4 linked regions of the Lonchura striata genome follow. The protein of the gene in region 2 interacts with the protein of the main gene of each other region in a pairwise test. Links are inferred from orthologs where the notes say so. Each region holds a gene or a part of one and is shown on either strand. Other genes may lie near its edges. The genes, in order: OSGIN1, TLE5, FAM124B and CIB3.

Evidence for each region.
Region 1: the proteins of TLE5 (region 2) and OSGIN1 interact in binary tests that used the Homo sapiens proteins (3 or more experiments, as listed by UniProt). The two-hybrid records come from large-scale screens. The link is inferred for Lonchura striata from reciprocal best matches to the Homo sapiens genes TLE5 and OSGIN1.
Region 3: the proteins of TLE5 (region 2) and FAM124B interact in binary tests that used the Homo sapiens proteins (3 or more experiments, as listed by UniProt). The two-hybrid records come from large-scale screens. The link is inferred for Lonchura striata from reciprocal best matches to the Homo sapiens genes TLE5 and FAM124B.
Region 4: the proteins of TLE5 (region 2) and CIB3 interact in binary tests that used the Homo sapiens proteins (3 or more experiments, as listed by UniProt). The two-hybrid records come from large-scale screens. The link is inferred for Lonchura striata from reciprocal best matches to the Homo sapiens genes TLE5 and CIB3.

Annotation. Positions count from the first base shown.
Region 1 is NC_134615.1:15,007,200-15,014,138, forward strand, and holds the start of OSGIN1 (oxidative stress-induced growth inhibitor 1), read left to right. Parts: upstream 1-3,920; 5' UTR 3,921-4,187; exon of another isoform or gene 4,188-4,202; intron 4,203-6,939. UniProt on the Homo sapiens protein: Monooxygenase catalytic activity. Involved in regulation of cytokinesis; promotes RHOA activity, probably acting locally at the midbody in late cytokinesis.
Region 2 is NC_134630.1:4,158,646-4,165,720, forward strand, and holds the start of TLE5 (TLE family member 5), read left to right. Parts: upstream 1-4,055; 5' UTR 4,056-4,148; coding exon 4,149-4,175; intron 4,176-4,434; coding exon 4,435-4,532; intron 4,533-5,989; coding exon 5,990-6,053; intron 6,054-7,075. UniProt on the Homo sapiens protein: Transcriptional corepressor. Acts as a dominant repressor towards other family members. Inhibits NF-kappa-B-regulated gene expression. May be required for the initiation and maintenance of the differentiated state.
Region 3 is NC_134612.1:9,560,436-9,567,947, reverse strand, and holds the start of FAM124B (protein FAM124B), read left to right. Parts: upstream 1-4,511; 5' UTR 4,512-4,720; intron 4,721-5,642; 5' UTR 5,643-6,220; coding exon 6,221-6,949; intron 6,950-7,512.
Region 4 is NC_134630.1:4,655,258-4,663,179, forward strand, and holds the start of CIB3 (calcium and integrin-binding family member 3), read left to right. Parts: upstream 1-4,910; coding exon 4,911-4,961; intron 4,962-5,277; coding exon 5,278-5,312; intron 5,313-6,096; coding exon 6,097-6,208; intron 6,209-6,934; coding exon 6,935-7,082; intron 7,083-7,826; coding exon 7,827-7,922. Other genes in the region: AP1M1 (AP-1 complex subunit mu-1), read right to left, coding at 718-759; protein FAM32A, read right to left, coding at 1,785-1,853, 2,009-2,062, 2,156-2,294, 2,418-2,494. UniProt on the Homo sapiens protein: Acts a an auxiliary subunit of the sensory mechanoelectrical transduction (MET) channel in hair cells. Plays a role in regulating hair cell MET channel localization and function.

The sequences.
Region 1 (6,939 bases), on a different chromosome or scaffold from region 2:
CTAACTAAACAATGACTGACTGTAGAAGCTAAAGGCTGTATCTTCAAATGATGCAGCACTCATGTAAATATTTTGTATATTTAAAAATGATGCAGAATTCATGTAAATATTTTTAATATATTGACATTTAGATAAGAGGAAAATTCCCAACCAGTTTCATGTGCAGTTTAATCTTTGACTAGGTCATGGATGCTGTTTGTTTGACATGAAAGTGTGTGTGTTTACTTTTCCCCAAAACATCGATGCTGAGCTCATGATGGAACTGAGGGCAGAGCACATGAGCTGAGCTTTCCTCTGCCTGTGGCATTTGGGAATGAAGAATCTGCAGAGATCCACTCCTGGGAAACATGCATGCTGTAGTCCCTGGAGCCTAAGGACTGGACCTCTTTGCATCCTACTAATTTCTGAAAGGAAACACATGTACTGGGAAGTAAAAAGCACCCTAGATCTGGCTATCATCCAGCCATCTGGGCCATTTTCTGAGGAAATGCCTGCACAGCCACTTGGCACTCCACTACTTCTCTACGTGGGTACTTCACATGTAAACTATTCCTGCAAAATATGCACTGTTGTCTCCACAAGTGTACTGGGAATGTCTCTTTCAGGGAGTGCTTACAGGGACTCTCTTGACCACTGCCAGCACTCTCCATACTTGCTCCCTAAGCCTGGACAGACAGGAGGTGTGGAATGTCCCAGTGAGGCACTGGCACTGGGGCACACACTGTGCTGTGCACAGGTCCTTGCTGCAGAGCAGCCAAGGGCATGACTGAATGCAGACAGTAAATCTTCACAGCCCTCCTGGGCAGTGTGATGGATTCTCACCTCCCCAAGCTTATTTCTTAACAGCTGTTTTTAAGACAAAGTGGTGGAAGTGGCTGATGCCCCTGGCCAGTGAAGGGTGGTGAAATTCTTTGGTTTCATCTCATTGCCTTAGGAAGACAACCCTCTTTGAACAGACAGGGAGTGATTTCAAGGTAATGAATTGAAAGCAGGGAAAAGCAAAAATCACTGTCTTACATTAGGTCCAGCAAAATGTAAGGTTTTGCTTTTTACTTTTCTCAAACAATTTAGCAAGTTACTAAGACAAAACTGTTTCAGTCATTTATGTGACTGGGAGGTCAATGTTCCTGTGAACAACAAAAGGGTGCAGTGAACCTTTACTTCTCTTCCTTTGGACCCAGCTGCCTAAACAGTGCAAAAAGAGGTATGAACACATAAGAGATATGGCCTTGGCAGGGACATGGGAAAGTTGGGATATGTGGTCTGGGCCAAATCTTTCTTTAGAGGAAGCCATGTGAAAGCACAAACACATGTAGGAAGTCACAAGTTTAACTGAGAGCAGAACTGGGTCTCATACTTCTAGAGTTGCCTAAGCTGCTTTTTCTGTCTGACCTAGCAATTGTCTGGGATTTTTTTTACCTCTGTCATTCAGCAGAGAAAGTCACATATCTCAGACATCCAACTGCTCTCAGGAGTGGTATGGCCACAACTTGCTGCTTCTGACTGGGGGATGCCCCAGCATTTACAAGGAACATCTTGCTGATGTGGTCTGGGTTGTGGAATTGGTGACAAATGTAGGTTTTCTTAGCTGAAGCAAAAAAACCCCAGGTAAACTGTTACAGTATTGATGTCAAACCATTTATTATCATTACATATGTGGGTCCTAGCTGTGGTATCTAAGTTAACATATAACTCTAAGTGTAAGCTTTTCTGGGTGATAAAGATGGAGATGCTTTAGGCAGCAAGAAAGTGAAGCTGGGTTTTAGGCTCTGCACAAAGACCATATGGAACCAAAATACTTGATCAGATTTTCCAACACTTGATTTTGTATTTTGTCTTAGATTAAATTATGTGCATTCTGTGTGTGAGTGAATGAAGAGAAGACTTAATATTCTCTTAGGCAGAATTTTAGATTTCTGTTTTACCATAATTGAGAGAAACACCAAAGCATCAAAGCACTACTGTGGCCCACGGAGGATCACACTGGGAGTGTTCCTCTCATTATGAAAAACCAACAGAACATGAAGTTCTAATGAATGAAACAATGTAGTTTGTCAGGATAATTTAGCACAGTCTGGTACACCTTAAAGCTGGCTAGAGGGAAGGGTGGATGCTGGAGAGGTGCTGTAGGAAAGGTTCTGCCATGAGCTGTCAGCAGCAATGAATTCTGACACCAGAGCTTAAGCTCCCCCAAATCAGGAGACAGCAGAATCAGGGCTATCTGACAGATTTCATAAGTAGGAGATGGACAGGTAGAACTTACATAACCTGAGGTAAAAAGTCAAAAAGTTACAAGGAAGTGTCTTTCTAAGGACATAGGAGTTGGTTCAGGTGCAAAGTATTCCCCAGTACAATGTTATGGCTTTGTCCTTAAATCTGTGCACCAGCAAAATTGCTTTGTCACTTCAGGAAAAAAATAGAAGTGAATTGCATTAGTTTGTAGGTCAAGGGCTGACTGCAAGGCCAACTACAGATTGCTCAATTACTTCTTCTTCTGGAAAGTTTATCCAAAGTGTTGGGCTCAGTCATTTGTGCGGTCAAGGTACACAAAGAGAAACAGTTCCTTTGACAAGTGCCTGTTCTGTGTGATGTGTTTCTTGGGATATCAATAAAAAAGAAGTCCCCAAATTGCTATGTTAAATGTTCTTATTGTACAAGCAAATAAAGGGCAGTGGGTTATTGTACATGAACGTTTTCCTGTAAAGGATTGTACTGTGCACAAAACTATGATGGAGCTTGTGGTTTTGGAAAGCCACCCTGGCTTTATTTGCAAAGGTAATACAGATTCTAGTTTTGTAAATTCTAGTAGGAAATGGACAGGATATCCTATCTTTTACAGAGAGGGCAACTTTATTTCTGCAGATTTGCACACATAGGAAGTATTCCTTATTTTTCTTAGTACAAAGCCAGCCAAAGCATTATACATGGTTTTGTCTTGTATCTATGGTATCAGCAAGTATGGACTTGAACATCTTTGTTCTACAATGTTTGACATGCAAGACTGCAATATATTGAAGACAGATTTGAAAAACCTAGTAACAGGGCAGTCTTAAACCACCTAAACAAACAAATGCCTTATTTTCTCTGAAAGCTTAATTTTTCCATGGCTGACATGGACACATTGGTTACATGCCAATAAATATCTGAATAATGCATATAAAAGTCTTTGCTGTCAAAAAATCTGTATGAGTTATTTAAGAGCCCTGTGCAAATGCTGCCTTGGATAAAGGCCCAGGAAATTTGAAAGAGTCCTTACCCCTCTCCCCACTCCCCCACTTCAGTCTGACAGTATTTACTGAGTCAGATTTTTCAAAGGATTGACTGGTGACTAAACTTTTAGTGAAACGATTGCTTCACATTTATTAAAACAACTTATTCTGGTGGAGTTAAAACAGAGTTTTATATTAAGTATTCTGCTCTGATAGGAGTCATAAGAGCAGAGAAATCCTTCTCATGAAATGCTTTTATCTTTTAGATCACATGAATGAAAGTATGCATTTTAACTGTGTATCAGCAGTCTGATTTCCTGGAAATTGTGGTTTCCAAACAGATGGCCTCAGAGATAAAAATGAGCTTCATTTACTGCTTGAACTGAACACTTTGGGAAAAAGGTATTTCATTTGTGAAGGGCATTTTAAATTTAGCAAGCCAGATCAATTACTGTATTGAGTAAGATACCTTGGATGAAACCCCTGGTGGGTTCTGAGTTTTATGCAAGCAGTTTGACTCATTTTACTGCTATTGTGCAAAAGGCTTAAAACACTTTATCTCACTGAAGAAAAAGAAATACAAACTGAAATCAATCTTTTCAGACCCACTACACATCTGTGATGTCCTGAGGGTTAAAAATGGAAATATTTGTTCAGTGCAGAGCTTGTGACAGGCTTCCTGTAAGCTGCTTTTGCTATAGTCACATTAGTCAGCTGAACATTACTAAGGAAGTTTCTCTACATTCATTCAAGAGCCGGGAAGAGAAATATTCCTGCTGACTCATGCTTATTGGTATTTTCCTTGCTCCACCTCCAGTCATTTTGGCTCCTCCTCTCCTCTCTTGCTGCTAGTTGCCTACTATATTTAAACAGCTGTTTTAGAGCAGCGAGAGGATTCCAGGCTTGTAGTTTGGTTTGCTCTCCTGACTGTACAGTCACCCATAAAGATCCCACCTCCCATCAGACCTGCTGCTAAAGGTAAGAAGGCTCCAAGTAAGTACAGAGAGCTCTGTCTGGTGTACCCTAACATCAGTTTCTGAGCACCACAGGGGTGTTTTTAGAACGGTGTTATTACATACCACAAAGCTGAATTTTTTCCACATAGTTTAATTGTGTTTGGGGAGGTAACTGGCCTGACATGTAAGAGTGATGGTGCAAGGAGAGAACAGCTTCTGAAACTTGTAGGGAAGTATAACATGTAAAAGCTGTCAAGATCTCTGCTTTTTTTAAAAAAAGCACTAATTGATTAAATATTAAACTAGTGAAACAAGTGAGTGGATGAGGAAATTAAGCTGAAGAAAACTATTGTTGCATCTCTGTTGTAATTGTTCTTTAAAACTGAGTGTTGTGGTACCTCTTTTAATCTCCCCCAGTGTTAATACCCGAGCTGCACTGCTCTCTTGAGCTCTCCCCATGTGCTGTTCTGGCCACACTTGGTGATTCTTACTTCAGCAAAACCTCACAGGCAGAGCTATCTGCACGTGGCTGATGTAACCTGGCTTTTTATTTCTCCAAGGCTCACAGAGTGTCCTTGTCTTGCTAAATGTATCTTTGCTTTTTCATTTGCTCATTTAAAACCTGTTTCAGGCTTACAGGCTGGAACTAGTAAGAGCCACCCTGACCGAGTTTGTGAGTTATAGTCCCTCTAGACACGAGGCTGTGTCAGGAAGGTATGCAGAGTTTGGCCCAGAGTGAGCTGGGAGCTTTTCAGCCAGAAACAATTATGTAACATCACACAGACACTGGAATGCTTTGGAAGCAGCAAGAAGCCAAGTTGTGAAACTTGCATTCTCTCAAATGAGGAGAAGGAAAGGGACATTCATTTAAAGTAGGAAGCTCAAAGCAGGAGCCAAACTCAGTGTCACTAAGCTGAGTAAGTGTGAGTGCCCAGCAACCTACACTACATAAAAGGAGGGTGAGAAGAGCAGTCTTAAGTTTCTTGCTGTCTCAGGCTTTTTTCCTGGTGCCAACTAGTTCAGTATAGATTGACAATGAACTTCAATGTCCTATAGCTTTCCAATGGCCTCTGCAGGAACAGGATTTCCTCTGCTACACTGTATGAGCTGCTCAGGTTTTGAGGTATTGGAGTCTAAAGCTGAAAAAAAAAAAAAAAGAAAAAAAAATTAAAATAATCCATCTTAATGCCTAATGGCAGGAAAGGTGAATGTTTGGCCTGAAACTAAAATGCCTGAGATGCTCTGAGCTCTGAATTTTACCCCCAAAAGTCAAACCTTTAGCCTACAGGATGGGAATAGCTATAAGCAGGTTCAGCACCTGATTCACTTTCTACTTAAAAATAAAAATTAATAGCTATGAATTATAGAGATGGCAGCTATAGGATATGAAAGGGACTTCTTCCATTTGTAGAGAAATGCAAGGATGGTTAATCTTGTGTTGATAGAATTTTCAGGGTCAAGTCTTCAGGAAACAAAATGTGTAGCACTAAAATGTCATTAGGGGTTTTGTGAACCCAGGTGCTGAATAACTCCATGGTTAAAAATGGTCACATGTGTACAAATCCAGTAATTTAATCAGACTAACAACTGTGCTCCTCTAGCTGTTACAGTTTGGTTTGATTGCAGAAAATGCTCCTTTTTCATGTGTGAGAAGGGGCAGAAAGGAGGGGGAGGGTGGCAGAGGGAGTTATCAGTGAGCGTGCGGCGCTGCTCTGTGCTTTATCAGGGTGAGAGGGGTGGCACGCTGCAGTGGCCAGGAGCCAAGGCAACCTTCCTCTAAAGTAAACAGCACTGCCAGCCTGTCTTCTCCTGGCTTGTGCCTTTTTTGTCCCCTTCAGAGTCCCCTAGAAAAATGCTGGCACCCAGCACTGACGCTGTGCTCACGCCTTACAGACAGGCTCGCAGGCTCCTTGTGTGAGCGCTGGCCCTGCTGCCCTGCAGCTGCTGCCATGGGCTCTGCTGGGCTGCTTCAGCAAAAATCCTGCAGATGTGCATGCAGTTTTCCCATGCATGCTGCTGCAGGGAGCTGGGGAGCAGAAACCTGGAAGATTGCTTCCAGAGATCTTGCTTTCCTCTTCCAGGCTCCCAGTAGTTTCAGAGAAATAAGATGTGTACTCTGTGTTAAGAAAAATTAATAAGCACTTCTCTTCTTGTGTAATACAGTTGTGGAGAGGGGGTTATTTGTTATCATGGAGAAGAAACTGCTGCTGACCTGCAGGCAGATACTGCAGTTCACTGGTTTCACTGCTCACACCAGTGTCCTGTTCCTTTGGTGTCTCTGGCAGTCCCAGCTGCTGGTGCTGAATCCTATTCATTGCAGCTCTGGAGATTTGTGGGAAGGGATTATTTGGGGGTAAACTTAGACCACAGACTGCTGAAGGTGGTGCAGGTTTTGGTTAATGTGGCAGAACCTACCCAAAAGGCTAAGGAGATCCTTAGGTGGTTGGGCTGTGGCTCCCTCAGTCTCCAGGGCTGTGGGGAGGCCTTAAGGGGAGTTCATCTTCTGTAGTGAATACAACTACCTTTGAGTCTCAGTTAAATTGGGAACATAAGTTTTGTTGAGATCCAGCTATCTTCAAAACTTGATGCTTCAGATTATTTAAATTAGAAAGCACAACTAAAATGTCTTTTAAGTGGTTCATGCCCTGTCAGGCAAAATGCATAAGAGTCTTAGATTAATGCTTAGTTAAGTAGTAACAGGCAACCAATAAGTGACACTAACTGTGTTCCAAAAATTTGGACAAGGCTGCTAGTTTTGAATGCATCTTATGTGA
Region 2 (7,075 bases):
CATCCCATCGGGGCACCTGGGTGTCCCAGGGGCTGCAGCAGTTGGGGTTGGGTGGTGATGGAAGAATTTGTGCCCTGCCAATGCCATGTTTCTGGGGAGGAGTGCTGCACTTCTGGCTCCCTGGGAGCCTGTGCAGCCCCACTGCTCATTCCAACCTTTTGCTGCAGCAGGGAGACCTGCACAGCTCCTAACAGCAGCAGGAGAGTTGGGAGGTGGTGAAGGAGAGAAGGAAAACAGCCCCTTCTGTGAAAGAGGGACTTGAGAGGCAGGTCGTGTGTAAATCACTGCTTGGCCTGCCCAGCCCTTGCCTGGTGTCTGGCTGATGGTGTTATGCTATCTGGAGAAAGTTTAATATCAAAAGCCAATAATCTCTGTGATAGGAGGGATGATAAGGGGCAGTCTGGCCTGGATGTGGCAGAGGGCCAAGGTCCGGTGCCTGACCTCCACCACCAGTCCTGGCCTCCCCATCCCATCCCAGGTGGCCCAGACCTGACAGAGCTGTCAGTGTGGCAGCAGGGCTGGGCAAAACAAAAAAAAAACCCAAAAAAAACCCCCAGGAACCAGCCCTGCTGCTGGCAAAGAGGGGCTGGGGAAGCAGGGAGGCAGGAAGGGGAGAACTCAGTGAGCCCCAGCAGAGTGGCATGGGGCTGGCTGTGGCTAATAGCCAACAAGCTGCCAGCACTGGCCCTTACAGAACGCCTCACAGCTGTCTGAATACAGGGCAGCAGCGGGGGATTGCAGCCCAGGAAGGGCCTGGGGTTTCTTGGCAGGTGGGGTATCAAGGGCAGCTGAAGTTGAATGAGTTTGGTGGGTCTCAGCCCTGTTTCTACTGGAAGGAGGCCACAGGGTTGAAAGCACAAGTGAGGAGCTGGCTGAGCCACCCCACACCCAGTGAGGTCCTGTCCCTGCCACTCCAGAGCTGTGCCCCAAATTGCTCAGACTCCTGCAAAGCACCTGTGGGTGTGGGCAGCTTGAGGTGATGGCACTCAAAAGAGACCCTGAGGCTGTGCAAAAATGGAAAAAACCTTCCTTGTCTCAGTGCCTGAATTGCTGCTGTGCCTTCTTTATTTCTTCCTCTTTAATCCAGGGAAAAGAGAGAGTATTCTCAGGGTAAAAGCAGGATCTCAGGGCCTTCATTTTCATAATGATGACAGCATGGCTTTCACCTTGTGTCCAGAGCTTCAGAGCAGAAAATGTCTGTACAACCTCTCTCCTTGAACCAGTGCTGGAGTGGGATATAATATCTGAATAATTTACAAAGGCTCTTCATTACACAGATTTATTTTTGGCAGCTTTGTTAGACTGCTCCTTTTAGGAACTAATAGGAAGTTTCTCTAGGTTTCATTAGGACATCCCTGTATGAATTGTTCCAGTGGGGCCAGAGACTGGGACAGTTTCTTGCGCCATTAGAAATACAAAATGCTTCTGCCCTCTCTGTCCCTCATGGCTTTCTGGAAACCCACCTGCATGCCCAACCCCGAGCCAGTCCTGGTTGTAGCAAGAATCCAGCATGTTTTTATTCCTGGCCAAGATGTTGAGGGAGTGGGGGGCTTCCCCACATTACCTTCAAACAGCTTTGCAGCAGACAAAAATATTGGTTCACTTGGAGAGCTCCTACACAGAACTCCCTTTCCTGTGCTGGAAAAACCTTCATTTCTCAAGCTGGGTCTGAGGTGGGCTGTGGGAACCCCCACTGCTCACCAGGCTGTGTTTGGGGCCACCTCCTCTGCTCCCAGACCATACCCAGCCCCTGACTCAGCCTGGGCCAGGCTAAAATCCCCTCTTCTTCAGATGCAGGTGCATTGCCTGGCTGGAAACGAGCCCATTAAAAAGTCATTTACCAGGCACAAGTGAGTTTGTGTTCCCCTGGACTGGGATTTGCCAAGATTATACCATAAATTAGAGTGTTTCCTGGAAGAATGTAAGGAGAGAGGGAAAAAAAAAAAAAAAAAGATAAAATGGAACATTTTGTAGCCAACAGAAATGCCAATAAAGGAGCATTTCATTTCCCACTTGGAAGGGAGTGACTGCAAGCTGTTGCGAGTGTAGGGCAGGGTGCCTGTGCTGCTCCAGGACCAGGGGAAGGGGACAACAGGGACCTGGTGTGGCTGCACGCACACACTGACCATAAACTGCATTTCTCTGCCCTTGAGCACAGCTCAAGCTGGGGTGACTCAGTTTCTCTCCACGTAAAAAGGGGGACCAGGATGCCAACCCCACTGGGGGCAGACTGTCTGCCCTGTTTTCCAACCCTTATTCTGCAGGGACACGAAGCCTGCCTGCACTATTAATAATCCTTGGCATGAAGCTGTCACAGTTTCCACTAATATGGAGATGTTGAAGTGAAAAAGCTACTGCACAATATGCAGGAGGTGTCACAATAACTCATCTGCTATATTGTTCTTTTTAAAAATAAATACCACAACAGGCCAGCCCACATTGCTGGAGTCATGACATGTCGGGTTTTATTTTTAATCAGAAAATGTACTGATTTTTAAAGATAGACATGGAGCAACATCCAAAATTTATTAAAGCTCTCTGTGTGCTCACATGTACCGTGTTCCTGCCTGCTATTCTCCGAATGGCTTCCAAGGACTTGATCCTGCCTCAGCACGGGCACATTTGTGTGTGCAGCTTTGCAAGAGGCCCCATGGCAACAAAGTCCTTCCAGAAATAAAGTCTGTGGCTGAATTCCCCACCCCACTGCTCTCTGGGGGGATGCAATCGATCCTGCAGGACACCAACTGCAGGGTCTCCTCTTCAGGCAGCAGGTTTAGGACCAAAGTTTGCATCCAGAGCAGAACACATCCCATTGCTTGGAGATCAGAGCTTTCTCTGGTGGCCAGTTGTAGGTGAACTACCTTTTTCCTTTCCCTTCCCTCAGGCTCAGCCAAGGGCAACACTGAAATAAAGCAAAACGAAACTCTGGGTTAAAAAAAAAATAAATAAAAATAGCCTGTTCTGCTTGGGGAAGGGCGTGAAAATGAGCTGCGAAGGGCGAGGAGCTTCACTGCCCACCAAGGGCCGCTCCGGGGCTCCGGACCCTGGGCCGGGCCGGGGGCTCGGCGGGGCCGGGGCACGGGCAGGGACTCCCGGTGAGTCCGGGCACGGGCAGGGACTCTCGGTGGGCCGGGGCACGGGCAGGGACTCCCGGTGGGGCCGGGGCACGGGCAGGGACTCTCGGTGGGCCGGGGGCACGGGCAGGGACTCTCGGTGGGTCGGGGCACGGGCAGGGACTCCCGGCGGGGCCGGGGCACGGGCAGGGACTCCCGGTGGGGCCGGGGCACGGGCAGGGACTCTCGGTGGGCCGGGGCACGGGCAGGGACTCCCGGTGGGCTGGGGGCACGGGCAGGGACTCTCGGTGGGCCGGGGGCACGGGCAGGGACTCCCGGTGGGTCCGGGGGCACGGGCAGGGACTCTCGGCGGGCCGGGGCACGGGCAGGGACTCCCGGTGGGGCCGGGGCACGGGCAGGGACTCTCGGTGGGTCGGGGGCACGGGCAGGGACTCCCGGTGGGTCGGGGCACGGGCAGGGACTCCCGGTGGGTCGGGGCACGGGCAGGGACTCCCGGCGGGGCCGGGGCACGGGCAGGGACTCCCGGTGGGGCCGGGGCACGGGCAGGGACTCTCGGTGGGCCGGGACACGGGCAGGGACTCCCGGCGGGGCCGGGGCACGGGCAGGGACTCTCGGTGGGCCGCGGCACCGGGGGGCTGCGGGGAGGGCCGGGCAGCCCGGCCGGCGGGGCAAGGCCCGTCCCGAGCGCGGGGAGGGCACCGAGCATCCCCCGGGCCCCGCCGAGGGAGCGCGGCACCGAGGGCGGCACCGAGCGCGGCCCGGCCCGGCCCGGCCCGGCGGCGCCGCGCGGCGGGGGCGGGGACCGGCGGGGGCGGGCGCGGCCGTGGGCCCGCCCGGGCCGGGGAGGCGGCGGCGGCGGCAGGTGGTGCCGAGCAGCCGCAGGACGGAGCCGGAGCCGCAGCCGCCATTAGACAATAGGCGCCGGCGGCGGGAGCGGCGCGGGGCGAGCGGCGCGGCCGGGGCGGGGCGGCCGCGGGGCCGGGGCGGCCGGACCCGGCGCGGACAAAGGCGGCGGCGGCGCGGGCAGCCGGTGGCAGCGGGCCGCTCCGTGCGGGGACCGAGCCGCAACCTGACATGATGTTTCCACAAAGCCGGCACTCGGTACGGCGCGGCCCGGGGCCGGAGCGGCCGCGGGGCGGGGCCGGGCGCCGGCGGGGCCGCGGGGGCTGCCCGGCCTCCCCCGGCCCCGCGGGGGCGAGGGGATCGAGCGCCTCCCGGTGCCGCGGGGCGGCTCCCGGGCGAGGGGCCCCCGGTGACCTTGGGCGCTGCCCCCGGCGGGGCTCGGGCCCCGGGGCGGGCTCGGGGCGGGCGGGCCCGGCGGGCGCCGGCTCCGGCCCAGCGCTGTCTCCTGTTGTTCAAGGGCTCCTCTCACCTGCCTCAGCAGCTGAAGTTCACGACCTCCGACTCGTGCGACCGCATCAAGGACGAGTTCCAGCTGCTGCAGGCCCAGTACCACAGGTACGTGCTGCCCCCGCGCCCGGGGCTGTCCCGGCCGGGGCGCGGGGATCGCTCCGGTCCTTCTGCTCCTTGCGTGGCTCCCGGGGCCGGACGAGAATTTGGGGAAGGGGAGCCGCTCGCGGAGCTTGGGACGCCTTTGGCTGGAGGAGCGCCTCGGGCACGGCGCTGGTCGCGTCCACATGGGAGCCCAGCGAGGAGAACGCCCATTCCCTTCTCCAGCCAAGGTCTTTCCTCCAAGTGCTGCTCAGCCAGGACTGCACAGGCACTTGCCAGCCCTCCTGCCTTTTGCTGGGAGTTTTCCTCAATTTTTCTCGCTGGCTGCCATTCCTGGACTGCAAATGCTGCAGGGAGCACTTAAATCCAAATGCTTTTACTTTTCTGTGAATGTGTGTGGAAATAGTGCTGCTAACCCAAAAGCTGGCTTGAGACAATCTGTTGCTTTGCGTGTGTGTGTGTGCGTGTTTATGTCTGACATAAACATGAAGCCCTTCGGTTTATATTGTCTGGGCAATGCCCTCTGCCACAGCCTGGCACTGGTTTTGGTGTGTGCATTGGTGCCATGTGGCTGCAATGTCCCCCAGCCCGGGCTCTGCCTGCGGGCAGGTTACAAGTTTGTGGTGGTGTCATTTTGGCAGGAGCAGGCAGAAAAGCTGCTGGGAAGTGGCCATTTCCTGGTGTCTCTGTGCCTTGGCAGTGCCATCAGGGGAGTAGGGGTTCCTGCTGAAAGGGAAGCTTTTCCCCCATGCCGCTCCACCCCCTTGGACTTAATCTGCTCAAGAAGGAGCAGGTTTTGTGTAGGTGAAGCTGTTTCTTGTTTGAAACATAAAACCACAGCACATTCTGGCTGCAGTTGCTCGGCTGGTGAGTTGGAGTCTCATAAAACACTGGGAGCAGCGGCACTTTCTCTGAAGGGTGTGAAGAATCTAGGAGAGAGGAAAAATCCTTGCTTCTGGAGGGATGTGCTGCACTTGGGCCTCCCCCCCCCAGCCCCCATCCAGAAGTGGGTCTGGCTTTGGTTTTGATGTTGTAGTGGAACATCTTTTGAGTGCTGCAGACAGGTTCTGTGCCAGAATCTGTCCCCAGCTGCCAGCGATCTGTTGAGGAAAGGCAAACCCCTCCCTGGGCAGCCAACTCTGCTTCTCCCCAGCATTCTGCTTCCTGTGGAATGGATTTGCCTGAGGGAGGTCAGTGTTCTGCTGGTGGATAGCCTTGTGTCCTTTTCCTGAATGTGTGCTGGGGAGGGCTCCAGCTGAGAAATTGGGAGCAGGTTCTGTGTGGTCACTACTGTGCCAGCACAGCCTGTCTGAGCTCTGCTCTGGCCACCCCTTGAAGTCCAGATAATGATGTCCAAGAATCCAGCCTGGCCGGGATGAGGCCATGCAGGAAGCAGCTGCTCCGAGGCGATCAACTCTCTCACCTCCTGTTTGTGGTTTTCTTACTGTTTTCTGGCTTTTCAGCTTGAAGTTGGAATGTGACAAACTAGCCAGCGAGAAATCGGAGATGCAGCGTCACTACGTCATGGTAAGGACCGGCCCAGCAGCCCGGAGCAGAGTGTGTGGGTGGCAACACCAGCAGGTGCCTGTGCCTGGGCTCTGCCTGGCAGGGAGCCCACGCCCCGCAGAGCTCCAGGGCTCTCAGCAGGGCTGGAGTTGGCTCTGCTCTCAAAATGGGGCTGTTTTGTGTTGGCTGCATGCAGGGGGTTGTTGAAATGCACGGTGGGAGGGAGTTTTTTGATGTAGAAAATGGTGGGGGATTGCTTGATGGGTCCTTGGCCCAAAGGAAGTGACGGCTCTTACACACCTGAGGAGGTGATACAGGGTGCTGGTGTGCAGGTGTTTGGGGGCTCTGGGAAGGTCACGGCCAGTGAGAGACAAAGCAGTGCTCTGAGAAGTCATGAAACTGGGAAACCCCACAAGCCAGGTGTGAGTTAGAAGCAGAAATCAGCTTCTGTGCCAGGGCTAAACCCTGTGCACCTTGTGGTGACCTCGCAGCCTCGCTTAGCCGTGGTGCTGAGTGCTGGCACGTGTGTCCCAGCACAGGGTGTGCAAGCCCCAGGGCAGTGCTTGGTAAAGGCATGAGAAATGGTGCCAAGTGTGGGCAGCAGGCTTGGCTGTGGCTTTCCAAGAAAACAGCCATGTTCTGGTGAGCAGGGTGAGGGTTTGCCTGCCAGGTAATGCCTCTGGAGCCCTTGCAGCACGGGGAGGGTTGCCAGGCAGGGCTGTGGTCTCTTCCTTTCCTATCATGGAGTTAATGGGAGGCTGCAATACTGTCCATGAAAATGAGCTGGCTCCTGCTTGCCAGCTGCTGCACCTGCCCTGGAAAGAAGAGATAAGATGTAGAAATTAATAGAGCAGCTCTTCAGAGCAGAGTTAAGACTTAAAAAATGAGAAATAAGGGAGCTAGCTGGCCCCTTCATCTTTCTGTACTGCCCTTGTGACCAGACTCTGAGGCTGTGGGGAGCAAGGAGTGCTTGGGGCTGGGGACAAGGAGAAGAGGTCACAGCTTTCCTGGTGTATTAATGGGGAAGCTTGCCCCGTTCTCAT
Region 3 (7,512 bases), on a different chromosome or scaffold from region 2:
ATGTGAATGTCTCTATTTTTAAAATCTTTTAAATTAAGCCAAGTTTTTCAAGGACAGCCCAGCTTTTTTACAGAAGTGCACAGACGGTAAGTGCACTCTGCCCCATTCCACTCTAAAGCCACAGATGTTTAGGCTGGTGCTTCTGGTCTTCTTGGACACAATCTGACTTTTATTTACACACACACACACACACACACACACCACCAGTTTTACCTGCAAAGAAAATCTTGCAAATGCTTGGGTCTCCAGCCAGCCTGACAGTGTGCCTGCTCTCAGCAGTTGTCTGTGCTAAAGAAAGAAGAAATTCCTGCTCAGGAGGCAAAGGCCTGTTCCACCTCCCCCAGTCCAAACTGGATGGAGAAAAGGGGCATCCACCAGAAGGTGCAACTTCAGCCCCATTTATACATAGCATTCATTTTAGCAGTCCTATTTTTGGGAAGAAAAATTCACAATAAGAACTCCTGAAGCTCTCAGAGTGATGCTACATTAGAGCCTGGTGCTGCCTTACAATGGCTTTCAAGTTCATGTGCAGATTTTCCTTTGCAAAGTTACCAGAACATGCCACAAATCCCAGTTATACCTGAGTTTCCTAGACCTCGAGAGCCACTTCTGCTAATATCTGCTGGCTGTTGGGATCTTGCTTCTTTTGAAATTCTGTTAAAGATGAGGCTAATAATCTCCTGCAGCTTGTCTGTCACAGCATTTGGTATCAACTTAATTATGCAAATGTACAATTCTAGAATAATGCAGGATCCAGGCCAAGCCTCTTTTAATTAGATGTTTGGGTGTATTATTCTGTATCTCAGGAAGGTTGTCTTCAGGAAAGGGAGTAATTAGAAGCCTTCACGGTGCGTGGGTCTGACCTGTTCCTTAGGCTGGAGCTTGGCCTCGTGTCGAGGTCACCACCTCCTGGGGACTCGTCTCATTAGCACTCGGCAGGGTGCAGTCCCGCCCGGCTCTGCCGCTGGCCTTCCAAGAATTCTGCTTTGAGTCGCCTTCAACAATGCTAAATGTAAGCTGATTAAACAAACACTTCACTGGACCATGCAAGTCTTGGGTTTGTTTAGATCTGCCTGTTTTCTTTTGCTGGAAGATTTTTAAATGAGGCGTAATGTATATAAAAATTGCTGGGTTAAATCTCTCAGAAATACATCCTTGAAGCTGGGCACTTAAATTCTCATGTAGCAGGCTGACTTCCCCCTCGTCCCACTCTGATCTCTGGAAGTGTATTGACACTGGGGACGTGGCAGAGGGATCCTGGAGATGCCATCTTGGGTCAGTGCTGGATGTTGGCTCTTCAAAGTCAAGACACCAGAGGAGTTGGGCTTGTTCAGTCTCAGGAAGGTTGAGAGGGGATCAAATCAGTGTCTATAAGGACTGAAGGGAGGGTGTCAAGAGAACGGACCAGGCTCTGCTCTGGAGTGTGAAGCAATAGGACAAGAGGCAATGGCAGAAACTGATGGCCAGGAAGTTGCACCTGAATGTAAGGAAGAACTTCTCCACTGTGCAGTGACCCAGCACTAGATCAGGTTGCCCAGAGAGGGTGTGGAGTGTCCCCTCACCAGAGATATTCCAGAACCCTCTGGACACAATCCTATGCCATGTGCTCTGGGCTGATCCTGCCTGAGCAGGGAGGTTGGACCAGATGCCCCACAGTGGTCCCTTCCCACCTGACCTATTCTGAGATCTTTGTTACCAATGCTTTGTTACAAAATACTTTTTTCTGCTATAATAGCCAAGTGGCTCATTACATTTAGTGGGTCTTGGTTTGCCTGCATGGAGTGCCTTTGGTTTGGTTGTTTTTTTTGGTTTTTTTTTTAAGTATTTTAGACAAACTGAAAACTGAGGAAAAATGGACTGGCTGAGGACACATAACCTGCCTTTGGTGAGAGATGAGTATGAAAACCAACCAAGGCCATGCAGTGCCTTTCTACAACGTATTTATTACTACTAGGAAGCTCATCTGTGTCCCAGTGCTGCTTTTAGCCTTGCCCTTGCCCCAAAGCCTGGGTCAGCTGAAGAGAACTTTGTTTTCCTCTCGTTACTGTAGTCACCGGGTGCGCAGGGAGCTGTGGTTCAGCCCCGGCTGCGGGATCCCTGTTCCCGTTCCCGGGAGCCGAGGCTCGGAGCCGCCTCTCTCCCTTCACTCTTTCCCTCCTGGAGCCCCGGAGCTCTCCCTCGTCCCGCAGCGCCCGGCCCGGGCCGGCTGCCTGCGCCCTGCCCTGCTCTCCTCTCCTTCCCTCCTCGTGTCCCTGTGCTGCCGTCCCCACTCACCGTGTGCGGCGCAGCTCTCCGCATCTCCTGCCTGCTGACGGACCCTGCCTGGATTACTACTTTCTGATAGTTGGCTAAAAAGAAGAAATAAGAATAGCTTGGGAGAGAAGTTTGCTTAAATCAATGTAGTAAGTTAGATGGAGTTTTGGTATTTTGGTCATTGGGCCTTTAGTTCCTCCAAAGTGGTGATGAATTGGAATCACAGGTTTTGAAGCCAGAGACGACCTCTGAAAAGATTTTTGTATTCAAGTAAGGCCTTAATCTTGATTTTTATCTCAGTACTGTGTGTGATGTATATAATTGTCATCTATAGCAGGTTAATTTATTAGTTTTTCCCTTGTTATAGGCAGATCTTGAGATTGGGGTAAAATAAAAAAAAATGTTTTTAAAAGAAATTAGGAAGCCTGAATCATGTATTAATGAGGCCTTCTCCCAAGGTGCTTAGGTAATACATTCTCAGTCTCTCTCAAATTAATTACGTTCTAATAATCCTTGTAAAGTACCTTCCTTACAGATGTTGCTCTAACTTATTAAATCCTGTGATGCATCATCAGTTTTGGTGGTATCAGCTGGAGCAAAGGGCTCTGAACAGTGCAGAGCACTAGGCACAGCTTAGGAACTGATTATGAAAAGGAATTTTTAATTATCCTGCTGTGTCTTTCCATGTAGAATTTTACACTTCCAGCAGACAGTATTCTCTGAGGTTTCATACCATAAAGTGTTTATTAGTTGTTTATGTTTGGACTTTTGTGCAGGGCTTACCGGTGTATGCATTAGTGCCAGTTCATATTTGTCTTGCTCTTACACACAGCTGGAGTGCCCCAGCAGCTTCCTGCATGTTCTGCTCTGTTACCAGTCACTGCCATGTGGGAATGGGGCCCCAGTTTTTTTGAGTCCCATATCAGAATTGTTCACCCCTCCTCCCCTCAGCAAAGTGACTTTTCACGTAGGATTGAACTGCTATTTTCCTAATCTCTTGAAGAAATCTTTCTTGGCACGTTCAGTAGGTCACTATGAAAAATGTGCTTTTCCATTTGGCAGGCAGACTGGGAAGCTGGGGGAAGGGGAAGCAGAGAGGAAGACAAGGACTCATTCCATTCAGGGATCAGAGTGAAATCAGCACTTTGCTTTCCTTAGAAGATCCAGCAAAAGCCAGCACTTTGTTCTGGTGCAGCCATCCCTTTTCCCCTGAGACCTGCAGTGGATGAAGCTCACCAGGCTGCAGCAGTGAGGGCCATTGCACCCAGCCTTTATCCCAAGGTTTGGGGGGCAGTAGACAGGAGATGAAAGGAGGGCATGAGGATACCCTTGTCCAAGGCTGAGGAGCCTGGTTTGAGGCCTTCCCCAAGGACATTGAGCTGTCAGAGCAAGTGAAAAGAGGAACAGGAGGGTTTGGCTGGGTAGTGGGGCTGCCCCCCTCTGAGGGAGAGGGTCAGGCAAAGGCTGAGCTTCAGCTGTTCTTGTGCTCCTTGCAGGAGGATTGGTGGGTTCTCCTGACCCAGAGCTGCTGGAGAGCTGAGAACCAGCCCCAAAATTGTTCTCCAGGCAGCTTCATCAGGTAGGGTTTCAGAGCTGAGATTGTTTCCCTGTCTCACCCCTGCAAACACAGAAGAAACACTTGGTGGAGGGTTCAGAATTTAACCCTTTTTGTGAGTAAGGCTCAGATTTTTTGGCTGTTGTAAAAACAAGAGAGGTGGTGCATACCTTCATGAGCCTCTGTGGAAGGCACTTGCCCATCTGGAAAACAATTTGGCTCCCCCAGCCACAGTGGGGGCTGGAGAGGGTTAAGGTTTCTGCATCACTCCCTAAGCAGCCCTTACTCTCCACTTGCTCTGCAAGGTTTCACATCCCCAGTCCTCTGTCACCTTCACCACAGAGCTGCAGATACCCCCTGGATTTTCTCCAGCAGATTGGAGCAGGGCTGGGGCTGAGAGCTGCCCCAGCCAGCAGTGATGGCACTGCAAGAGGAAAGCCTCCCCGTGCTGCTGCTCACTGCCCTGAGAGGGAGCAGCGTGCAGGGACAGCACTGGGGGTCCTGCCACCAGCGAGGAGGGGCAGTGGGGCAGGCACTGGGCTGTGCTGCAGCAGCAGCCCCAGGATCTTCAGCTGGGGTGGGAACAGGGGACCCTGCTCATGGGAGCTGCTTCCAGCCACAAACCAAACCCTGATGAATTTGCTGAGTTCCAGGGTTTTCCTGTCCCGGCAAACTCCCTGTTCTTCACAGGCAGGAAGGCAGATGACTGCCTGCCCCTGCCCTGTAGCAAGGAGTTGATGAATCATTTCCTTTTCCATATTTTAGTGAAATTGTGTTGTTCAGAGCTCATCTAGAGCATTTTAATGCTTTGAGCACTTGCACTCTTCACTCTCTTCCTGCAATTGTCTGAAGGCTGGATTTTGTTTTTGCATGCTTCCCAACAGCAGTTGTTACTTGCTCAAAGTGTTGCAGGTAGGTGCAAAATAATTTTTTTTCTCATTTTCTAGACTTTTTTTTTTTCATTTTTATTGTACATAGGTGTCAGTGTATACTTTAAAGCATGAATGTGAGTTTCTACCAGTGAGAGAGATCTCCCTAAAGGAAACCAAGGCACTGCTGCTTATACCTTTAGACCTCGGAGATTTTACTTAGTTGAATATAAAGTTAGGGTCATATTAAAAAAATAGTTCAGAATTTTGAATAACAGACTTACTAATGCTGGGATTTCTTAACAGTGAACCACTGCTTTGTGTGCTTAGCTGTTTGAGAAGGAAGTTGGCATGTCAGCAGAGAGAAATGTGCTGCCCTTAATTAGATGGAGCTGGACACATCACCAGAGGCCCCAGTTTTGATTTACAAACTGGCTACAGTGGGGGCAGCTCTGTATAGGAAGTGGATTTGGCTTGACCTGTATTGTGCTGCTGCTGGGCTGGCAAATAGGGAGATGAAGGGACAGTGTGATTTATTGTCCACACTAGAAGAGACCTGGAAAGGAGTGTATTTTCAGCATTCCTATTGTAGCTTATGCAGTAAGCTAAGTATCAACATGTAAACCCAAGGAGCAAGAAAAAAAATCCTTGGACTTTGATTAAGGCTGCTGTTACATGAGTATCTCAGAAAAAAAAAAATATAAAGGAGAAAAAAGCAGCAAAGGGGACACTGAAAATGGGAAGCCTAGTATCCAGCTTCTATGGGTGATGTACAATAACCCAGGACCTGGTTTCCTGGCAGTTAGGCAGCAAGTTACATGTGTTGTGAAGGGTGTAATTACGAGTTAAGGTTTTTCCCAAAGCTCCTCTTTCCTGATTTATATCTGCCCTTATTGTTATCTGTTACATTCACATGGTTGGTCTTTTTTATTTTGTAATTTTGTTTTCCTTCCTTGTTTTCAAAGAATAGCTTATCTGTGTGCCCCAGCAGGGTGGGACTCACAGAGATCACAGGCTTTTTACAATGAGCCAAAGCCAGCCTGCTGACTACAAGGAAATTTGCTTAGGGTTTCGGCCACGAGTGCCACATGGGCTTTGCAAAAGGCAGTGATTGCACTGGTGGGACTCGGCTGGAGTCCGGAGCGGCCACTTCCACTGCCAGGAGACCGGTGAGCATCGCCTCACCCTGGAAAATCGCTGCTTGTGTTCCAGTGCTGTGCATCTCCGCGGTGCTTGTGCTGTGGCCGGCAGGAGCAGCGGGTGCAGTGCTGCTCCTGCACACTTGGGTCGCAGGTAGGCAGTGACCAGAGCCCCGGAGCCGGGAGTGAGCCTGGAGCCGAGCTCCGCTGGGATGTGAGCTGGGACCGCTCTCTGCACCTGCCCCCTCTGCACCTTCGCTGTGCTTCAGCTGGTTACTGCAAAGCCTGTAGGAGCCCGAGCTCGTTCTGTTCGAGGCTGCGAATACACCCTTGTGTTCCCGAGGCAAAGAGTAAAAGGAAGGCGCCAATTCGTCTGTTTTAATCTTTTGCCTGGAGTCTTTGCAATGGATGATGGAGCAGAGTCTCTGATGACTGTGCATCTGCTCACCCATTTGGGACAGTCATTTCCTCTGCAGCAGACTCTGGACCGGCTTTTGGACTGGCTGTGCCTGGACATTCGCCTTTTCTTGGTGTCTGAGCGAATTCCTCCCCTGAAGTACTACGAGAGATACCGCAAGAGGAGCTGCAGCTTTCCCGGAATATCCGTCCTGCTTTTTCTGCACGAGGACTTGGGAGAAGAACGGATTTTCCAGGTCCACGAGCAATTCCAGCGCCCTCCCTGGCGGTACCAGCGTGCCCAGTTTGCTAACGGGCAAAGCTCCCCCTATGCCCCATCCCACCAGGACTTCTACGGCCTGGATGAGCAGCTGCCCGTGTGGGGCATCCGCCGGGTGCGCTGCGGCCCCGAAATCCTGCGGGTCACCCTCTACTGCAGCTTTGAGAACTACGAGGATGCGGTGAGGCTCTACGAGATGATCCTCCAGAAGGAAGCCACCCTGCAGAAAAGCACTCTGTGTGTCTTCGTGCTGCACGCCACCCCACACGTGGCCGTGCAGCTGTGCCTGAAGCAGCTGCCCATGGGGGTGACGGCCGAGCCCCCCGACTCGTCAGCCCTGCAGTTCAAGGTGCAGGAAATCGGGCAGCTGGTGCCCCTCCTGCCCAACCCCTGCGTTCCCATCAGTAGCACCAGGTGGCAAACTCAGGACTATGAAGGGAATACAATTCTGCTCAAGGTATGTCTGTGGTGCTCTCAAGAGGAGGGTTTATCTACTTTTTTTCCAAGGAAAGTAGGTCTGGTTCAAAATGGAAATTATGATTTTGTTTGTTCATGTTTCTTTTGAATTTGTGAATGCAGTAATCGGTGTCTGCCAGTGCTGTGATGCTGTTGATAAATATAAGCACTGATCCTTGGAATGTTTTTATACAGTTAAATTAACGTCATTACTGTTTGCCTGAAATGCAGACTATTAATGATTTCATGATTTCTAGGGCACACTAGCTTAACATCTTCCCTCCTCTGCCTCAAAAAAAATGATTGCAGCAGCCTAATCTTTTTCTGATATGACATTGCTGCATAAATGTTTTTCAAAGCATATTTTTGGCATCCAAAACCAGAAGTTTTGTAAGTGTAATGTTGATGCAGCACTGCCTGCAATTGAGGTTGTGAGATCACAAGTGAGTTTGTAGTTGGGCAAAAGTGATAAAGAGCTGTGTCCTAGGAAATCTCTGCCTTGTCTGTTGAAGTGTGCAGTCCAGAGGTTATATGAATACAAAAAAAAAAAAAAAAAAAAAAAAG
Region 4 (7,922 bases), about 500 kb from region 2:
AATGATATAATTGTTAGATGTGATGATTGCTTAGTAATTAATTACTGTTTAATTGTAAGAATAATCATGAGAAACTGTGGTCAGGGGGCCTAAGGAAGATCACGAGAAACTCTTGTCAATGTATACAATAGAACAATATAAATTTAATAAGTTCCCATCCCCATTGTCAGTTTTCCATTCCCAGTTTTCCATCCCCATTCTCATGCCCACTCCCAGATTTCCATTCCTAATTTTCCATTCCCAGTTTCCCACTCCCAGTTTCAGTTTTCCATTCCAAATTTCCAATCCCCATTCCCATCCCCAGTTTTTATGTAAGTTATATAACGATAATAATATAAAATACGTTCAGCTCGAAAGCCATGTCGGAGTCAATTTGGGTCTGTACCCCTGATTCCCAAAGCTCTCAATAAAAGCACCTGCACATAATCATATCCCGCGATGATGTGTGCTCCTGAACGCTAACACAGAGATTAATCACCCCGGGGATGCCGCCTCACCCAACATCTCTACCGGCGAGGGGCTGCCCACAACTCCCTGTCCCCGTTTACCGGCGAGGGGCTGCCCACAACTCCCTGTCCCCGTTTACCGGCGAGGGGCTGCAGGCCACAACTCCCCCGTCCCCGCTGGGCTAAGCGGGGGCCGGCAGCCCGGGGAGCGGAACGCGGCCCCGCAGCCGTCCCAAGGCAGCGGAACCCGCAGCTCCGCGCCGGGCCTCACCTTCCCCTTCAGGTCCAGCACATAGACGGCGCTGGCCGACATCGCCCCGGCCGGGCCCGTCCCGCCCGCCGCTGCCGCTTCCGCTTCCGCAGGAAGTGACGCCGGCGCGGCGGAAGGACACCGCGGCAGCGCCGTTAAATAGTCCCGGCGCGCCGGTCCGCGGGCTGAGCTGGGCACGGACACACGGAGAGCGTAATTCGGGTTAAGAACATCCCGGTTTGGGAGTTCCGACATCGTGATACATCCCTCAGAGGGGGTAACAATCAAACTCCACACGCCCCATTTCATTCCATCCCAAAAAAGGGGTGGAAGCAGCGTTTTAATAAATTACATCGAATTTACAACTTGCAGCAGACCCCTCTGGAAGACAGAAATGATACTGTTGATACTCAAGATAGAAATGATAACTGTTTGCCACAATTACACACTCGAGAGACACGCTGATTATTTATTTCAGAGCTGCACAAGCCTCGATGCTCGGTGGGATCCCAGAAATCCAGCTATCAAAACTTGGACATCACTCAGAGCTTGTTGGCTGCTCTCTATTTTATGGATTAAACCTCCCTTCTTGCTGGTTAGGCTTGAAAGTATACAAAGATCAAATACCAAAGAATATCCTTTCCTAAAACAATTTTACATATTTCATGTTTTGCAACATGGCCTCTGACAGAACTTGATAGAAAGTAATTATACAATTCACATAACTTACAAGAGAAACTTAATGAGACTGTCAGACTCCACTTGAAAAAAGGAGTACTGTTAGAACTAACAAAATAAAAGGAATGTTTTCCATCTGGCTCACAGCAATTCGTTCTGGCCTTAATCTCACTATAAACACTAAAAAAAAACAGCCCTCTCCATCGATGTAAACCAGAGCTCCTCAGCCCACAGGAGACATTGCTGGATGATTGGTTTTAAATAACAAGTCTATAAAATAAGACAGTATGAAGTCATAAAAGCTCAGAAGATGTATTAGACAATATAGAGAAAAGACAGATTTACATGGCAACCCTGCTTGATACAAACAAAACACAACTCCAGCTCCAGAGCCGTGAAAAGCAGCCCGGTCATTTAGTCCAGCTGACTTTGGGAATGTCGTAATGCTCAGTCAGAGTATCCAAGTGCCTGTTGAAGTCCTGGGGGAGGCAAAGAGAAAGAAAACAGGGTGCTGACATCACCAAGTTGAACCACAAGCCCCCCCTGCGTCCCGGCTTGTGTTTCACAAGGCGGAACAGTTCCTTCAGCCCAACAAAACACGCTGGCCTGATGGACTCGGGATGGTTTTGCTCACCTCCACTCGCTGCTTGTGGGTTTTCGACGCTTTCTTCAGGATCCGTTCCATTTGCTGTAGGAGACACATTAAGGCCGGTTACTCCCGGCACTCGCAGCCCCCTCAGCGGCCGCACCCCAGGGGTGACAGCGGCTTTTAAACCCTTACCCGCTTCTCCTGCATCTTCTCGTAGGCCACCTGCGCCGGGGTCCGCTTGTCCAGCCCGCGCTTCTTCTCCTCCTCCTGCTTCTTGCTGCTCACGATCTGCTCCAGCATCTGGGCCTTGTCTTTCGCCTTCTTCTTCTTCCTGCGGGAAGCGCCCGGTCAGAGCTCAGCCCCGGCGCTGTGTGTCCCCTCCTCGCTCACGGTTCTCCCGACCCCTCCTCACCGCTCCCCGTTCTCCCCCGGTTCCCCCCGGCTCCCCCCTCACCGCTTGCCGGCCCCCAGGGCCCCGCCGCTGCCCTTCAGCCGCAGCGGACCGCGCTGCACTGCCTCGTAGTCCGCCATGGCGGAACGGCCGCGCCCGCGCCCCCTGCCGGCACCGCCGCAACGGCACGGCCGGCGCCGGGAGCCGCGCGCGAGCCCCGCCCGGCTTCTCCGTGAGGGGACCGGGAACGAGCCCGCCCGGCTTCTCCGTGAGGGAAACCGGGAACGAGCCCGCCCGGCTTCTCCGTGAGGGGGACCGGGAACGAGCCCGCCCGGCTTCTCCGTGAGGGGAACCGGGAACGAGCCCGCCCGCCTTCTCCGTGAGGGGAATCGGGAACGAGCCCCGCCCGGCTTCTCCGTGAGGGAACCGGCCCGTCCGTGAGGGGAACCGAAGCGGCCATGAGGTGCCTTGCACCTCCGTGAGGGGACCGGCCTCTCAGTGAGGGGAACCGGGACGGCCATAAAGCCGCCTTGCATCTTCGTGAGGGGACCGGCCTCTCCGTGAGGGGAGCCGGGAACGAGCCCGCCCGGCTTCTCCGTGAGGGGAACCGGGACTGCCATGAGCTGCCTTGCATCTTCGTGAGGGGGACCGGGGACGACCCCTGCACGGTTTCTCCGTGAGGGGAACCGGGACTGCCATGAGCTGCCTTAGCACCTCCGTGAGGGGAACCGGTAACGAGCCCCGCCCGCCCCTCCGTGAGGGGAACCGAAGCGGACATTGAGCCGCCTTAGTACCTCCGTGAGGGGAGCGGGCAGTGAGCCCAGTCCGGGGGTATCTCTGTGAGGGGAACCGAAGCAGGACTTGCAAAATATGGAATATATCAAGATTATTTAAAAATAGAATTTTTTTTTGATGTAAACTCTTTCTATACTTTCAAACCTATTCAGCAAGAAAGGAGATGTAATGAATGGGAAGACAGCAGCTAGCAGCCCTTAGTCAACAACATATGGGAATTAACAAGCTTTAGGGATGTAGTAAATCAAAATGTTGATGTATGTGTGTGTATACATTGATAATTTGGCAAAGGATTCAAGGTCTGTATATCCTACAGCTGAACTAGCTGAACTATCTTCATTATAATACTTAAGATCATGCCTAAGGGTCAAAAAGACCTTGCCCAGGTGCAGACCCTTCCCCATTGCATGTGGAGAAGTTAGCTGGGGATTGTCTAACTTGTATGGAAATTACTAAATAATCTTAATAGAGAGGCTGACCTTGGAAAAAGACGATGAACTTCTGTAAATAATGGCGTGGAAAGTCCAGTGGGGTGTGTTGGATTTGTGGAAACCCACCAAGCATCCAGGCTTGTGCAAATAATATCTCTCTCAACTGTGTAATTATTGGCTTGTTGCACATCACATAATAAATCTGATTTTGAGGACAACAGGATGGAATTGCCTTGAGGAGAACACCTGGAGATCTAGGCTACACCAGGAGGGACCAGCCCCATCCCTCCCCACACTTCTTGTTGCACTCTGAACAGAACCATTCCAGATCGTTTTTGCTATGGGAAGATACCCTGAGGAGCAAGCCTGCCCCAGGAAGAGATCTTCCACCAGTCAGAGGGAACCAGTGACCCAGAAATAGAAACTTTACAGCTCCATGAAAAAGCAGCCTGTTCCAGTTCCTCCTTTTTTCCCCTTGTTTTTCATCTTTCATAGCATCACATTTCTGTTCACAGGTATGAACTATACACTCACACATCTTTTCAGTGCAAAGGCCGTGTATGAATCAGTATGGATGGATGTCATGCTAATCACCATTAATTAGTAGTAAGATACGTCAGCAGATGATGCAGAAGGAAGGGAGTGAGCGGAATTTATGGTTACTACCTCCAGTACAAGCTACCACCAGCATTAGTGTATTTTAACAATGTGCATTAAAGGAAAATACTGGCACAGGCTGCCCAGGACAGTGGTGAAGTCACCATCCCTGGAAGTGTTCAAAAAAACATGTGGATGTGGCACCTGAGGACATGGAATATTGGTGATCTTGGCAGTGCTGCATTAATGATCTAAAAGGGCTTTTCCAAGGGCTTTTATAATTCTGACCCTATAAAATATGAGAAGGAAAGGAGGAGGGGCTACCAAATTTCCATCATTTGGTGTTAAATTTTAAAGGAGGAAAATGCTGCTAACACTTTTCAGTTTATTCACCATATCTGAAGGCATGAAAAAGCAGGGTCCACTGGGTCTTCTTGCAACTGAAGGGCACTAATGAGCAGCTATTACTTATTTGGCTAAATCCTGTAACCCGAGTCTTCGTGGTGCACACAGGAGACGGGTGAATGCTGCTGGATAAGAGCCTCAAGCAGCTAGACTAAAGATTTGATGAAATGCTCCTATTATGATACTTTGCAGCCTGTACAAGTTGGTTACCTGATCCTCTGCTGTACCTGAGCCTCATTGTTGCAGCTTTTAATAACTGAATATCCAGAGGACCTATAAAGGTGCCTTTGAGGAAAGAACTGACAGGAGTCAGTATTCCCTGCTCAAAATGGGCAACAAGCAAACCATTTTCACTCAGGAGCAACTGGATGCATATCAGGTATAAAGCAAACTAAATGGCTCTTTGGACAGGGCATTGAATAATGGCAAAGGTATTGTTGGGTTTTTAAAAACATCATCTTTTAAAAATTAATAAGTAGACATACTGAATTGCAGCAAAGATTTTAGTAACATAGTTTGTTTTTTATATCAAAAGGAAAGATTATAAAATATGCCTAAATGTATGCCATTAAGAATTTTTAAATGCTTACATGTACACTATAGTATAAATTCATTTAAGTCACTGCATGGGAAAAGTTTGGGTCGATGCATGCTAAAAACTGTCATTTTGTGTTATACCTTTTCTTACTTCATAGGACTGCACATTTTTCACAAGGAAAGAAATTCTCAGGTGAGTCTTCTGTATGCATGTTGTGAATAAAGGGCAGAGATTGCTGTAAAGGCAGGTTACATATGGAGTAAGGTATTTAAAAAATAATTTTTAAATGGATTTACTAAAATTTAAAGTGATACTTTGGGGCAATCTGAACATTTTTGTTGGCTTTTTTTAAATTTACAAACCCTATCCTTAACTGAGTCAGAATTCTAAATTTTGTATTAACGTACTAGTCCCTCTGTTTATTAGAAATAAATACAATTAATTACATCTTAGTGGCAGCGACATCCATATTTTTTTCACGTGGTTTTCCGACAGATGCTTCAAAGTGTGCTGTTATTCTCTGGAATACTTTGCTGGTTTATGAAAACTTTAATGATTGTGTCAAGTTTTCTTCATGTTTTCTTGTAAATGATTACACTGCTGCTCCAAGACATGTTTTTGCCGAGCCTCACTGAACTCCCTGTTTGATCTCTGGCCAAAGGATCTGATAAAGGCAGGATCGGATGGGACTGAGAGTCCTCTCTGAAAACATGAACTTATTCTCCTCTCACAGGGGTTTGGCTGCATGTCCTGTGTAAGCATTTTCACCTAACAGTTCTATAATGAAGCTCTGTATTTTTCACCAGTTACATGATGTTGCTTGTTCTAATAACAGTTGTTCCAACAAAAACATACTGTTACTTAGTGACCGATCTCCATCTGGTAATGGATGCAAAGAGTGCAAAACGAGGTGGAAAAGCAAACCACCTTGTTCTCAGAAATCCAAAGAGCCAACACGCTTTTCTCTCTGTCTCAGGTTGTTTCACAGGTACCGAGATCTGGCCCCACAGCTCGTTCCCCTTGACTACTCGGACAGACCCGCCGTGACACTCCCCTACGAGCTCATCGGCAGCATGCCAGAGCTCAAGGTACCCAGCACACGACTCGAGTGACACATTTCAGCTTCATCTACCCTTCTTGAATAATTCATCCAGGACTAATTGCTGGGAGGCTGCCATAAAATAAATTTGGGCTATCAAAGTAAAAAGTCTTTCTGGAAGCTTCTAGTAATTCCCAGAAAACACGCTGAAACAACACAAAGGTTAAATAGGGTGTGGCGGTGTGTGCTTCTGATACAGCATTAGACAAGAATTTAAAGGCAGAAAAGGGAGAAATTGCCAAAAAGGTGTTTCAACAAAAATAATCTCACTCCACTTGCCTTGCCTGCACTGAAATCAATGTTAGTAAGTATTGTAAATGCAGGCGAACCCAGTGGGAATAAATGACAATGTCTGACTCAATTCAGAAGGCTGAATTATTTCTTTATTATAACTATGCTAAAATACATTAATATACTATACTAAAACTACATACTACTTTCTCTGACTCTAACTCTCACACAACTTGTGACTCTCTCTGAGAGTCCAGCCCCAGGTGGGTTGGATTGGCCACCAGGCTCAAGCAATCCTCACCAGAATCCAATCAAGCAAACAATTCTCCAAACACATTCCAAATAGGAAAAACAAGGAGCAGAAATATAAATTTTTTTCTCTTTAATTTCTCTCTGTGCACCTCTATGAAATATCCTGAGAGGGAGAGAAATGTGTTTGCCACAAGTAAGGATGACCTTCCCTTGCTCCTGTGCTGTTTCCCAGGACAACCCATTCCGCCAGCGGATAGCAGAGGTGTTCTCAGAGCACGGTGATGGCAATATGACTTTGGATGATTTTCTGGACATGTTTTCTGTGCTAAGTGAAATGGCTCCACGAGACTTGAAAGCTTATTATGCTTTTAAAATTTATGGTGAGTGAGACATGCATAAAAGGTAAGTGGGGAAGTCCTGCAGCTTAATGTATGGCTGCAAAATCCTCACTTTGTCAGCACAGAGATTTCTAGTTACCATTTCTTTTAATTCCACTTGAATGTTTTTCTCCCTTCTCTAAAAACTTCTGGTTTTCTTTATACTTTTGTCTCTAATTTATTTGGTATTAAGATTTACTACCAAATTTACAACTTGAAATAACCTGCAGTTTTCAAAAGCTGATAATCATTAAGAAATAATTCTGTCTGAGGGGCTGCTTGGAAAAGTACAGCACAGGGGATTTGGCTGCCCATGAATCTGTAGGGTGGATTTGGGAGGGGGAGGCAGGGAAGCAAACTGCAGGCTTTTTTACTCCAAGGACAAATGTAAAGATTTTTTTTTTAGATGTGTATTTACAGTTACTTTCTTTATTATCAGCTAAAGACAATATTTCAAACCAACACAATTTTGCTGGAATGATTCAATGACTCCTAGGCTATTATGTTTAGCCATTAAACTACTTACAGTTGTTACCCTTTGAATGAAAAGAAGAAATTAAGAGATTTTTATTTTGTAATTGATTTCTTTTACAAATAGATAGAGGTAACTTCACTTCTGATTTGAGAATTCTACTGATAAAAATCCATCACAGCCTGGGAACCAAACCCCTCTATTGGGCCTTGGCAAACAACCATGTAAAATGCTGACTTTTGTTGCTTTGAATTAACTTTTGTCTCCTTTGTCAGACTTCAACAATGATGATTACATATGCAAATCAGATCTAGAGAAAACTGTTAACAAATTAACCCGGAATGAACTGACCCCAGAAGAAGTCAGCCTCG